2 linked regions of the Tribolium castaneum genome follow. The protein of the gene in region 2 purifies or fractionates together with the protein of the main gene of each other region. This does not show direct contact. Links are inferred from orthologs where the notes say so. Each region holds a gene or a part of one and is shown on either strand. Other genes may lie near its edges.

Region 1 (4,412 bases), on a different chromosome or scaffold from region 2:
ACGGGCTCAGATTAAAGCATTGTAGCAGATAATGTAAGTTACATTTAGTACTAATGTATAAAATTTAAATATATTTCACATTTTTATGTACAATAATACAAAATGTAAAAATCGATTTATTTAATAAATACAGAACTTTTTACAGGTGTATGTACAAGCTGAGTATCACCATTTTATTTAAATATCAGTTGATTGTACTCTTCTAGAACGGTTAGAAAAATATTTAAATAAAATCGTTCATTTGGGGGCCAATTCGGGTCACCACCAAATCGAGGCAAGAATACTGAATCGTGGACCGTCTCCTGTCGTATCACATTAACAACTAAAAATTGAACGACGGTGCAACCTCTCCAACCGGCCGGGTTACAGAGGTTCCACTGTAGTTTAGAGTCGTCGAAAATCCGCTATAAAATGGCCGTACAAAACTCACTTAATCTATTTATGGCATATAAAAGTAGGCCTGCCAATTTGTACCGATTGGCGATCTAAAAATTACGTTGAGATCTGCAAAACTAACTAAAGTCCCCTTTCACGCCACTAATATCAACCAAAAATCACGAAATAAATAAACTAAAGCTGCCTAAAATCGTCTCTCTCACTTCAACATTCGAACTGATTCGCTGTGATTGTGCTAAGTGTGAGCATGAGTCCTTCCAAATTCGCCATTTCCTGATTGAGTTCCTCGGTGGAGTGCGACGGCTGCAGTCTTTGTACTTCTTCAGCGGTGTGAGGGGGCGGATTCGTCGGGTTTATGCGAGAGGGGGGCGTGCCCGCCAAAGTACTCGAACTGCTCGTCGGGGGCTTCTTGTAGGGCGAGGAGTTGGGCCGCACTGCAAACAGTTTAGTAACCACAACTCTCCCTAGGTAACTAACTACTACAAAAACTAATAATCACAAATTGTCAATTAAAAATTAAAACAAAACAAAAATGTGCACACAAGCGGCTACATGAAAATCATTTTAACACACCTTGTATTTTAAAATATTCCTTTCTATAACTCCAAATAAAACTAAATTTAGTTTTATGAGATATGTAAGAATTAATAACTAATATTACTGAGTCGAATAGACATAATGACATAATAGTTGTTATATTAACTATTAGTTATTTTTTTAGTATAGAAAAAAAATTCAAAGTTCAAAATAAATCATTAATTTGGGCATTTTTGTCGAAAATGAATCGGTAAAAGGCTAAACTTCGAACTTTGCAGCAACTCACCAATGTGTTTCGGCTGGGGCGTCCCAGGGGCCGAGATGGGGGGCGGCGCCGGCACTGTGAAACTCTTCAAGGGGTGGCTTTGTGCCGGAACGCGCTTGCACCCCTGGGACTCGGCGAGGACGCCCAGGCCGGGGGCGTACGTGGCAGGGACGTGGGCCCCCATCGGAGGCACTTGGCTGCATTTTAACTGGTTAATAACCTAATTGATTGTTCAGTGGTTTGGTACCTAATGTTGGGCTCGGTCCAGCTGGAGGGATGCAAGGCGTAGGGATTTTCGGGGTTTGCTAACGGATCTACGGTCACATGGGCCCGAGCCATGTTGTACTGGGTGCGGGGGTACGAAGGCCGACTTGAAGGCGTCGAGTCTGTGCTCGATTGGCTTAGAGACGTGGTATTAATTGGGGTTGCTATTGCTGCAAAATATTTTCTTTTTCTCACATTTTCGCAAATCAATAGAGATTTTCTATTAATTGTATTATTTGTACTAACACAAACAGCACATGCAAGCCATACTTACGCTCTCTCGGCGGCGTGGAGACCACTGGTAACGTTATAATTGGCTTAGATCTGATTGGTCGTTTGATTTTATCGTCAGGGGAAACACCTAGGTGTAGCAAAGCGAAAAAGTGCATAAATAAAAGAAAAACTAGGTTGTGTTTATTAAAAGCGCTCTAAAGTACGTAATTTTGCTGGAGTGGTATTTTTATTCATTAATTGATTTTTTGGGGTGGCGAAAGCCGCTTAAAAGGGGAAAAAAAAAGCGCAATTAAGCGGAAATGGATTATCTGGTTACGCTGGGGCGAAAATTATGTAAAGTGTTGTTTGTCTGAGCCACAATTTCGTGAGAAATTCATTAATGAAGAGAATTCGGAACTGAAAAGTGCTCCAAAATTACTGTTTCGATTGGTAACAGATCTGAAAGAATTTTAGTTAACAATTTGCAACACTGCAATCTGATACGCTTTTAAAAATAAAATTCAGAATTGCCAACTAAAAAAGTAATTCTGGATCACGGTAAAAACATCTGGGAATTCAGAAACTTAGGAAAATTCGCACGTCAACATTTGTTACAAACAAAATCTGATCTTAATAAAAAAAGTAGCGAGTTTTCCAAACATTCGTTTTTTGCGCGTACTTTCCGATTTAGTGCGCTTTTAACTATCCTATTCTATGTCAGTTGAACCAAAAATCCGCTGAGAGCATGCGTACCAATCGTCAAAACTAAACTCACCCATATAGTTAGGAACATAGGTGCGTTGATCTAACGAATTAGTGTGTATACCACTTTCGTGGGGGTCATAATCGTTACCTCCCACACTTCGCGGTAAAGTCATAGCGCCACTACTGCTAGCACCATCATGGTTCGACTGACTTTTTTCCATTGCTTTCAACTCCATCTGGTCATGATGTATCCACAAATCTGGGGGTTTCACACTTTGGTTACCTTTCTGGTAACCCTTTTTACTCCTATCTGGGGACGCGGCAGCGTCGCGTCTCCGACAACACAAAACGGTTGTTACGACGCCTATCGTCGTAACGGCAATGATACAACCTCCGATGAGGAAGTATATGATAACAGTCCCGGAAAAAATTCCTTTCCCGTCTGAAACAACAATAAAATTACACACACACAACAAAAAACAAGGGGTGCCTTTACCTAAATGTTGCCGCGAACTGCTTACCAAAGTACCAACATCTAACAAAAATAAAAACAAAAACAAAACCAAAAATAAAAAACAAATAGGTGAAAGTTTGTACTCACTTGACCCGGTTGTGAAAATGACAACATTGGAAAAAGGTCCATAACCCTTGCTATTCCGCGCCTGAACTTTGAAATAATATTCGGTGTTGGGCTTAAGGTCGCCCAGCACGGCTGAATGCTTGTCACCCTTGGTCGCTTGCGCGAGCCATTCGCGATCGCTTTTTGTTTTATTATCCGTGTATAAGATCACGTAACCTGGGGAAAACGGGCGATAAAAAACCCAATTAAGATAAACTCGGTCCAACCTGTTATTCGACCGCTGGTTATCTTAGGGGGTTGCCATGTCAATTCCACCAATTGCGGTTCGTCCTCCTTTAAATGCACATCCAGGTCCCGTGGGGACGCGTTCGGGGCCAATTCCCATGTCGCGTTCTGCACAACCATGCTCCAGGGACTCTCCTTGCGGCCTGATTTTAAGTTAATTTCAAAATGTCATTTTTTAAAGCAAACAAACCTTTGACGAGTTTCACCGCAAACTCATAAAGTGTGTTTGGTTTGAGGTCGTCGATCATCACGTTGAGGTCTGACACGTTCACGGTGCGAGTTCGCATCGTTCTTTCGGCGGTGTATTTCACCACGTAGTAGCGGTTGTCCCGCACGAACTAAAAAACACTCCCGGTAATTCCAACAAAAAATATGGTTACTTTTGATCCCCGAGTTTTCATTTTGAAAAATATTGGAAACAGAGGCGGATTAACTGGGAGCTCGTGGCACTAAAAATTTGAGCCCATAAACGTAATTTATGTAGATAACAAAACTGAACAAAAAATTGAGAAAAATTTAAATCTGTGTGCAAAAATCTTCGTTTAAAATTTCGTCGAACTGTAGATCAGTCTTCTATCGTATTTCTTAACACATTTTATGCATAGATGCACTCTAATCAAACTATTATTGTCAACTTTACCTGAACATAAACGTCTCTCTGTTTATCACCTAGATAGCATTAGTGAAAGGTCAATTAAACATCAAAGATGCTTCTTGTACTCACGATAAGTTTTCTCGTAAATAAATTTCGAATTTTCAGACACTACTCGTAAGTAATGCGACTTGATGGACAGTTTCAGCCGCCGGAACTTTGAGATTTGACTTAAAAACTTAATCTGTGCATAAAATAGTATATGTATGGCGGTAGTAACGCAGTTTTATGGTCCTACAGCTTCAGGCCATAGAAGCTTCTTTACGCCCTTAATACATAAATAACTAAAGACTAAACAAAATCTTTCAAATAATGCAGTTGACATCGGGATTGATATAAAAGTTTTCTTATTGTTTGTAATGTTGAAGAAGTCTGTTAATTTTTCTTATTTAGATATACGTACAGTTTATTCCAAGTTCTACCTCGCTCCAAAAAATAAATAGGTTTTTTTTACGTAAGAACGAATCTTTATAATGGAGCGATAGAAATTTAAATGCGCTCCTATTTCATGCTTT
Region 2 (5,326 bases):
TCACATTTTACAGCGCGACAACTTTGTTTGAGGCACGAGCCTGAAAGGCGAGTGCCTTATTAGTTGAAGCGCTGTAAAATGACTTAACGCATGAGATTTGTATAAAACTTTTTGGCCGACAAGCTTTTAATATTATTCTTTATAAAATATTATGCATAGAATCAATGACATTTGTGGTTCCCAAACGTATGTATAGGTGGCGCTGTTCCGGGGGGATTTATATTTTCACTAATTAAATATACACCATGGTCGATTGAATTAAATAATTATAGGTAACAAGTATTTCGTTATACGAACTTAATTATGGTAAGCACGGTTTGTATCTTAAACATGTCTAATCGTCCAGTGTTTTGTGGTTACTTTACCTAATTGTTTGCTACCAGTTTACAGCATCGTGTTTAAAGGTCAAGTTACCTTTCATGAATGGGCAACTGTCATTCACGTTTTACAGTACTGGAGGCCAAAAAATATGTTGGAATCTTATTTCTGTAATGGACAACTGTCATGGATAACAAGATCAAAATTTTAGAAAATCGCATGGTAGAATTTTTTATATAATTTTTAAAATTTTTAGATATTGATAAATATTTATAACTACAGTTTACAACGTTTTTAACCAATAGATGAAACCAATTTGTATTGGTTGAATAACTAGCCCTAAGTTTGATACTGAAGTCAAAAAAATTAGGACGCCAAGTTTTTTAAATATTCATTCAGTATTTAGCAATTTTTGCAACAATAAAAATATTACAGACTGCTACTTCTTTTGTACTATTAGGGTCAGTTTATCTTAATGTAGACTAGTAGTAAACGGATAACACATTTTTATTCAAAAAACCTTAATAGTTTTCCTTACAAGACTTTAAATCTTGATGGAAACATTCACCATGTTCATCGCTTAAGCTTCCCAGGGTTTGTTAGGATAATTTAAACACAAACATAGAAAAAGTGATATGGGCTTAATTTTCATTAACCTGATGATATTTTAAAACAAACAAAATATTTAACAATTTGTTAATCATGTCAATAATGAATGTAAAGACACCACAAAAAAGCTCGATTCAAAACTTTTGAAAAATTAATTGGTTGTTTTTGCACTAATTAGTGGCAGTTTCTTTATTGTAACCAACAGTAATCGGCTAACATATTTTTATCTCAATTGTCATAAGACTATATCTTGATGAAAACATTTGATTTCTTAAGTTTCCCAGGTTTTATTAGGAGAATTGTACCACAAACAAACAAAAGTTGTTTGGGCTTAATATACATTCACTTAATGATATTTTAAAGCAAATAAAATGTTTAATAATTAGTTTAGTACAGAATGCCAAACTAGACACCAGAAAAAAAATTTCAAAACTTTTAGTGAATACAGGGTGCTCAAAAACTGGCGCACCAACTCAGTGGTACGTTATTGAAAAGCAAATGCATATTACGAGAAGAATGTTGAAAGAATTCCTAAAGTCATATTTTAAAAAATCTGGAGCTACAAACTTATTGTGTTAACTTTTTTAGTTTTCATTATTTTTTATGTTTTTATGTTTCATACCAGGTAATCGTTCCGTATCAAAACGAAGAATAATTATTTTTAAATTTACTATCACATTTTAGCAGTTTTTTTAATTTAAAAAAATTAAAATTCATCAAAAATATCACAATATGTAGATGTGCCAACACTTGGAATTATTTCCTATATATAATTATTAATACTATAGAACATTATTTAAACTACTTTAGGGAACTTATTAGGGAAATTACGTATGCATGCAAAATTTCAGTTAGGATGAAACTCTCTTAAATTTGACGCAGACAGGCAACAAACCAAGCTAAAGCTTTCAAAAAAAACCTTACCTGCGTGAGCTGTGTAAGTGTCGTCGCGCATCAACCGCGCCAATCCAAAATCAGCCACTTTGACCAAATGGTTCTCCCCGACAAGACAATTCCGAGCCGCCAAGTCCCGATGAATAAAATTCCTACTTTCAAGATAACTCATCCCGCTTGCGATTTGTGTAGCGATGTACATAAGAACCACGGCGTTAATTTGCTCCTTGTTTCCATTCCGGAGATAATCCAGAAGGTTTCCTTTACTCATAAATTCCGTAATGATATAGAACGGGGGTTCCCGCGTACAAACACCCATCAACTGGACCAGATTCGGGTGTTTCATCTCTTTCATAATCGCCGCTTCTTCCAGAAAATCCTTCAAAGCCATGGTGTCCTCTTTGAGCGTTTTCACCGCCACTGTCATGTTGTACCTCTTCCAGACCGCCTCATACACATCCCCATACTGCCCGCCTCCCAGTTTATGCCTCATCACGATATCAGTCCGATTAATTTCCCATTCGTCCGGCTCTGGACTCAGTGGAAACACCGTCGGTTTGTTGTGTTTGGGCGCGGGATACAACAGCTGTGTTATTAGTCCGTCGGCTAGCATCGAATGGTGATGCACCAGTTCCGCCAATGTATTGAATTTGCTCTCAGCTGTGACGAAAACTTTACCCTCTGCGTCCTCGTTGATGCGGTAGTGGTAGACGCGGCCCTCGTACCGCAAGGATATGCTCCTTTGGCCGGGACTGCTCTCCGATTCGCGCACCAAAAAACTTCCGTTTATTCCCGAACTGAGCAGATATTCGGCGGCGTTTCGCGAGATCGGCCCGTGGTACCAGGAATGCTTCTCGAGGGAGTTTACCGGAGTGACGTAGTTTGACGGTACCCAACCGATTTGGTTCGATGTCGAGTGGGCCTCGCACCATTCGCCGCTTTTGTTGTAACTCAAGATGCGCACTTGTTCGCCTGAAAAAAAGCAATTTTTTGCATTCATTTCTTACTAACTACATGCTAAAGTCGAGAAAATTTAAAAATTTTGACGAATAAATCAAAACCGACATAGGATTTCGATGATATTTTTAGAAGGACGCAGAAAAACGCCGATTACGGCGGAACTGTCGAAGCTAGCGCAAAAAATCAGGCACCATTGTAATCGCCGTAGGAATGTATAAAATGACGCCAATTTCAAAACGATATTTTAAAAAAGCAACAATTTTCAAACGCCAAATACGTTTATGGACAAAAAAGTCTGACACCGACGTAATCGCTCCATCAATATGCAAAAGTTTAACCGCTGCAATCGCCGTAAAAAATCTATAAACTATAAAAAACGCCTATTAAATTTACGAACAAAACTAGCAATATTTCCAAATATATATAATAGTACTTTTCAAAAAACATCGATTGCCGATTGCGTCTACGAACAAAACGTTCCGACGCCATCGTAATCAGTAGAAAACCAATAATTTATTTCTATCAATTTATACAAATGTAATAACAAAATTGATACGAAAAACGTCAGTATTGTACACAGAAATAACAATAACATAAAAATAATTTTAAGACAAGTCAAAAAACCTGTCTATTATAGAATTCATTTAAAGTATATGGTTCGAGACCAAAAATGTAGTCAAATATTTTCTTTTTAAATAAATTTAAATTACAAGGTGTGCGTAGATGCACAGGTAAACTATTGTATAGTTTTATTCCTGCATAATGAGAATTTTTTTCCGTCAGCGTGAGTTTGTGTTTTGGATACTCTAAGTCTACTTTGCGAGTTTTGTACTTGTGGTCGTTAGTGACATTAAATAGTAGATTCTGTTTAAAGAAAAATAAAAGTAATCTATATATGTATAAACCAGTTACTGTCAAAAAGTTATTGCTTTTAAAGATGTTCCTACAAGTTTCATTATATTTTAAGTTAAACATAGTTCTCATGACTTGTTTTTGAGCAACAAATACTTTTGATATCTTTCCACTTTGCCCCCAAAATATTATACCGTAGCTTAGTAATGATTGAAAATTTGTTGTTCAATGTTAAAGTATTTTTTTAAAACACGTATTGTAAAATGTACTGAGTTTAATTTTTTTAATAAATTATCTATATGCTTAGTCCAGCTTAACTTATGGTCAATGCATATTCCCAGAAAATTAGTTTTCTCTATTAATTCAATTTCTTTAGATGATATTACAATTTTATTCAGTTTCTCTGAATTCTTGTGATTACATATTGCAAAATGAATGCTGTAGGTTTTTTCAAAATTTAACACTAATTTATTTTCTTTGGTCCAGTTTATTACCTTATTCATGCATATCTTTGCTTCTTTCATTGTATCTGTCATATTTTCACCACAAATTAATATGTTTGTGTCATCAGCAAAGTTAACTGCACTATTGTTGTCTGAGACTGTTAAAATGTTTAATAAGTCGTTTATATAAATTACGAAAAATAAAGGTCCTAGTATACTACCTTGAGGTACACCTTGTTTAATTAGAAGTTTATTTGATGTATATAAAGTACTGTTTTTTGTTATTGTGACCTGCTGATACCTATTATTAAGATAAGATGTGATCAACTTTAACATAATTCATAGATAACGTGGATAGTAAAATACTTGGTTTATTAGTGACCACACAGCACTTCAACATTAATTTCTATGACATTAATTTAAAAAGTCACACCTAGAGTTTTTTCTCACAAAACAAATTTTTTCTTTATTAGGATGTGCTCTTACTTTTACAATTTGGCGCCTTTACGTACTTTTACCTTTTGCCGCATTATTTTATTATTTCTATCAATTTATTTATTATGCTCCGCTTTACGTTTATACGTCTATGTGTTCTCTCACTCTCTTATTTTTGTTTACGTGTTGTTTTACTTACCTTTGCTAAACTTTTTTCAGATATTTTAACACAAAGTTTTTAAATAAATCAACATTACAAACTATATTTTACTATCCACGTAATCTATGAAAATATTGGTTGCTAACCACTAACTTTAAAGCGATATTTTCACAAAACAACATCTACTTTTTAAACGTCGATTACGTTGACGAATAAAAAATTAAATAATTAAATTAATCGCCGAAAAATTTGATAAAAATGTATATATATTTGTAATGTTTGCAAAAAATGGGCTTTCCAAATGTCGATTACCAAAAAATTCTGACACCAACGTAATCGGCCCATCAAAATAGATCAGAAATGCGGCTCGACCTTCGTTAAAGTCCGACGTAATCAACCTTAAAAATCTATAACGTTTTGCTAATTTAAAACAAAATCTGGCTATGATTATGAACGTATATGGACAAAAAAATTTACACCTCGGCCCATCGGAATAGATGGGAGACACTTACTTTGAAAGGAAGGCATTTTTTCCGGAGTCATTTATTTTCGGAGACATTCAGAAAGAAACTAAAGTTAAATAATGATTTGTGCACAAATAAATACTTAAATAAATAAAAAAATATATAAGGCAACTAAAATGTTACACAATAAT

The links.
Region 1: the proteins of Abl (region 2) and fra purify together in Drosophila melanogaster (affinity purification with western blotting; 3 studies listed by BioGRID). This does not show direct contact. The link is inferred for Tribolium castaneum from reciprocal best matches to the Drosophila melanogaster genes Abl and fra.

The regions. Positions count from the first base shown.
Region 1 is NC_087396.1:13,013,004-13,017,415, reverse strand, and holds part of fra (neogenin), read right to left. Parts: intron 3,584-4,412; coding exon 3,436-3,583; intron 3,389-3,435; coding exon 3,227-3,388; intron 3,177-3,226; coding exon 2,982-3,176; intron 2,916-2,981; coding exon 2,877-2,915; intron 2,823-2,876; coding exon 2,451-2,822; intron 1,824-2,450; coding exon 1,737-1,823; intron 1,683-1,736; coding exon of another isoform or gene 1,669-1,682; exon of another isoform or gene 1,654-1,668; intron 1,633-1,653; coding exon 1,446-1,632; intron 1,396-1,445; coding exon 1,220-1,395; intron 831-1,219; coding exon 601-830; 3' UTR 1-600.
Region 2 is NC_087394.1:5,615,869-5,621,194, reverse strand, and holds part of Abl (tyrosine-protein kinase Abl), read right to left. Parts: intron 2,794-5,326; coding exon 1,852-2,793; intron 1-1,851. UniProt on the Drosophila melanogaster protein: Arm and Abl proteins function cooperatively at adherens junctions in both the CNS and epidermis; critical for embryonic epithelial morphogenesis regulating cell shape changes and cell migration.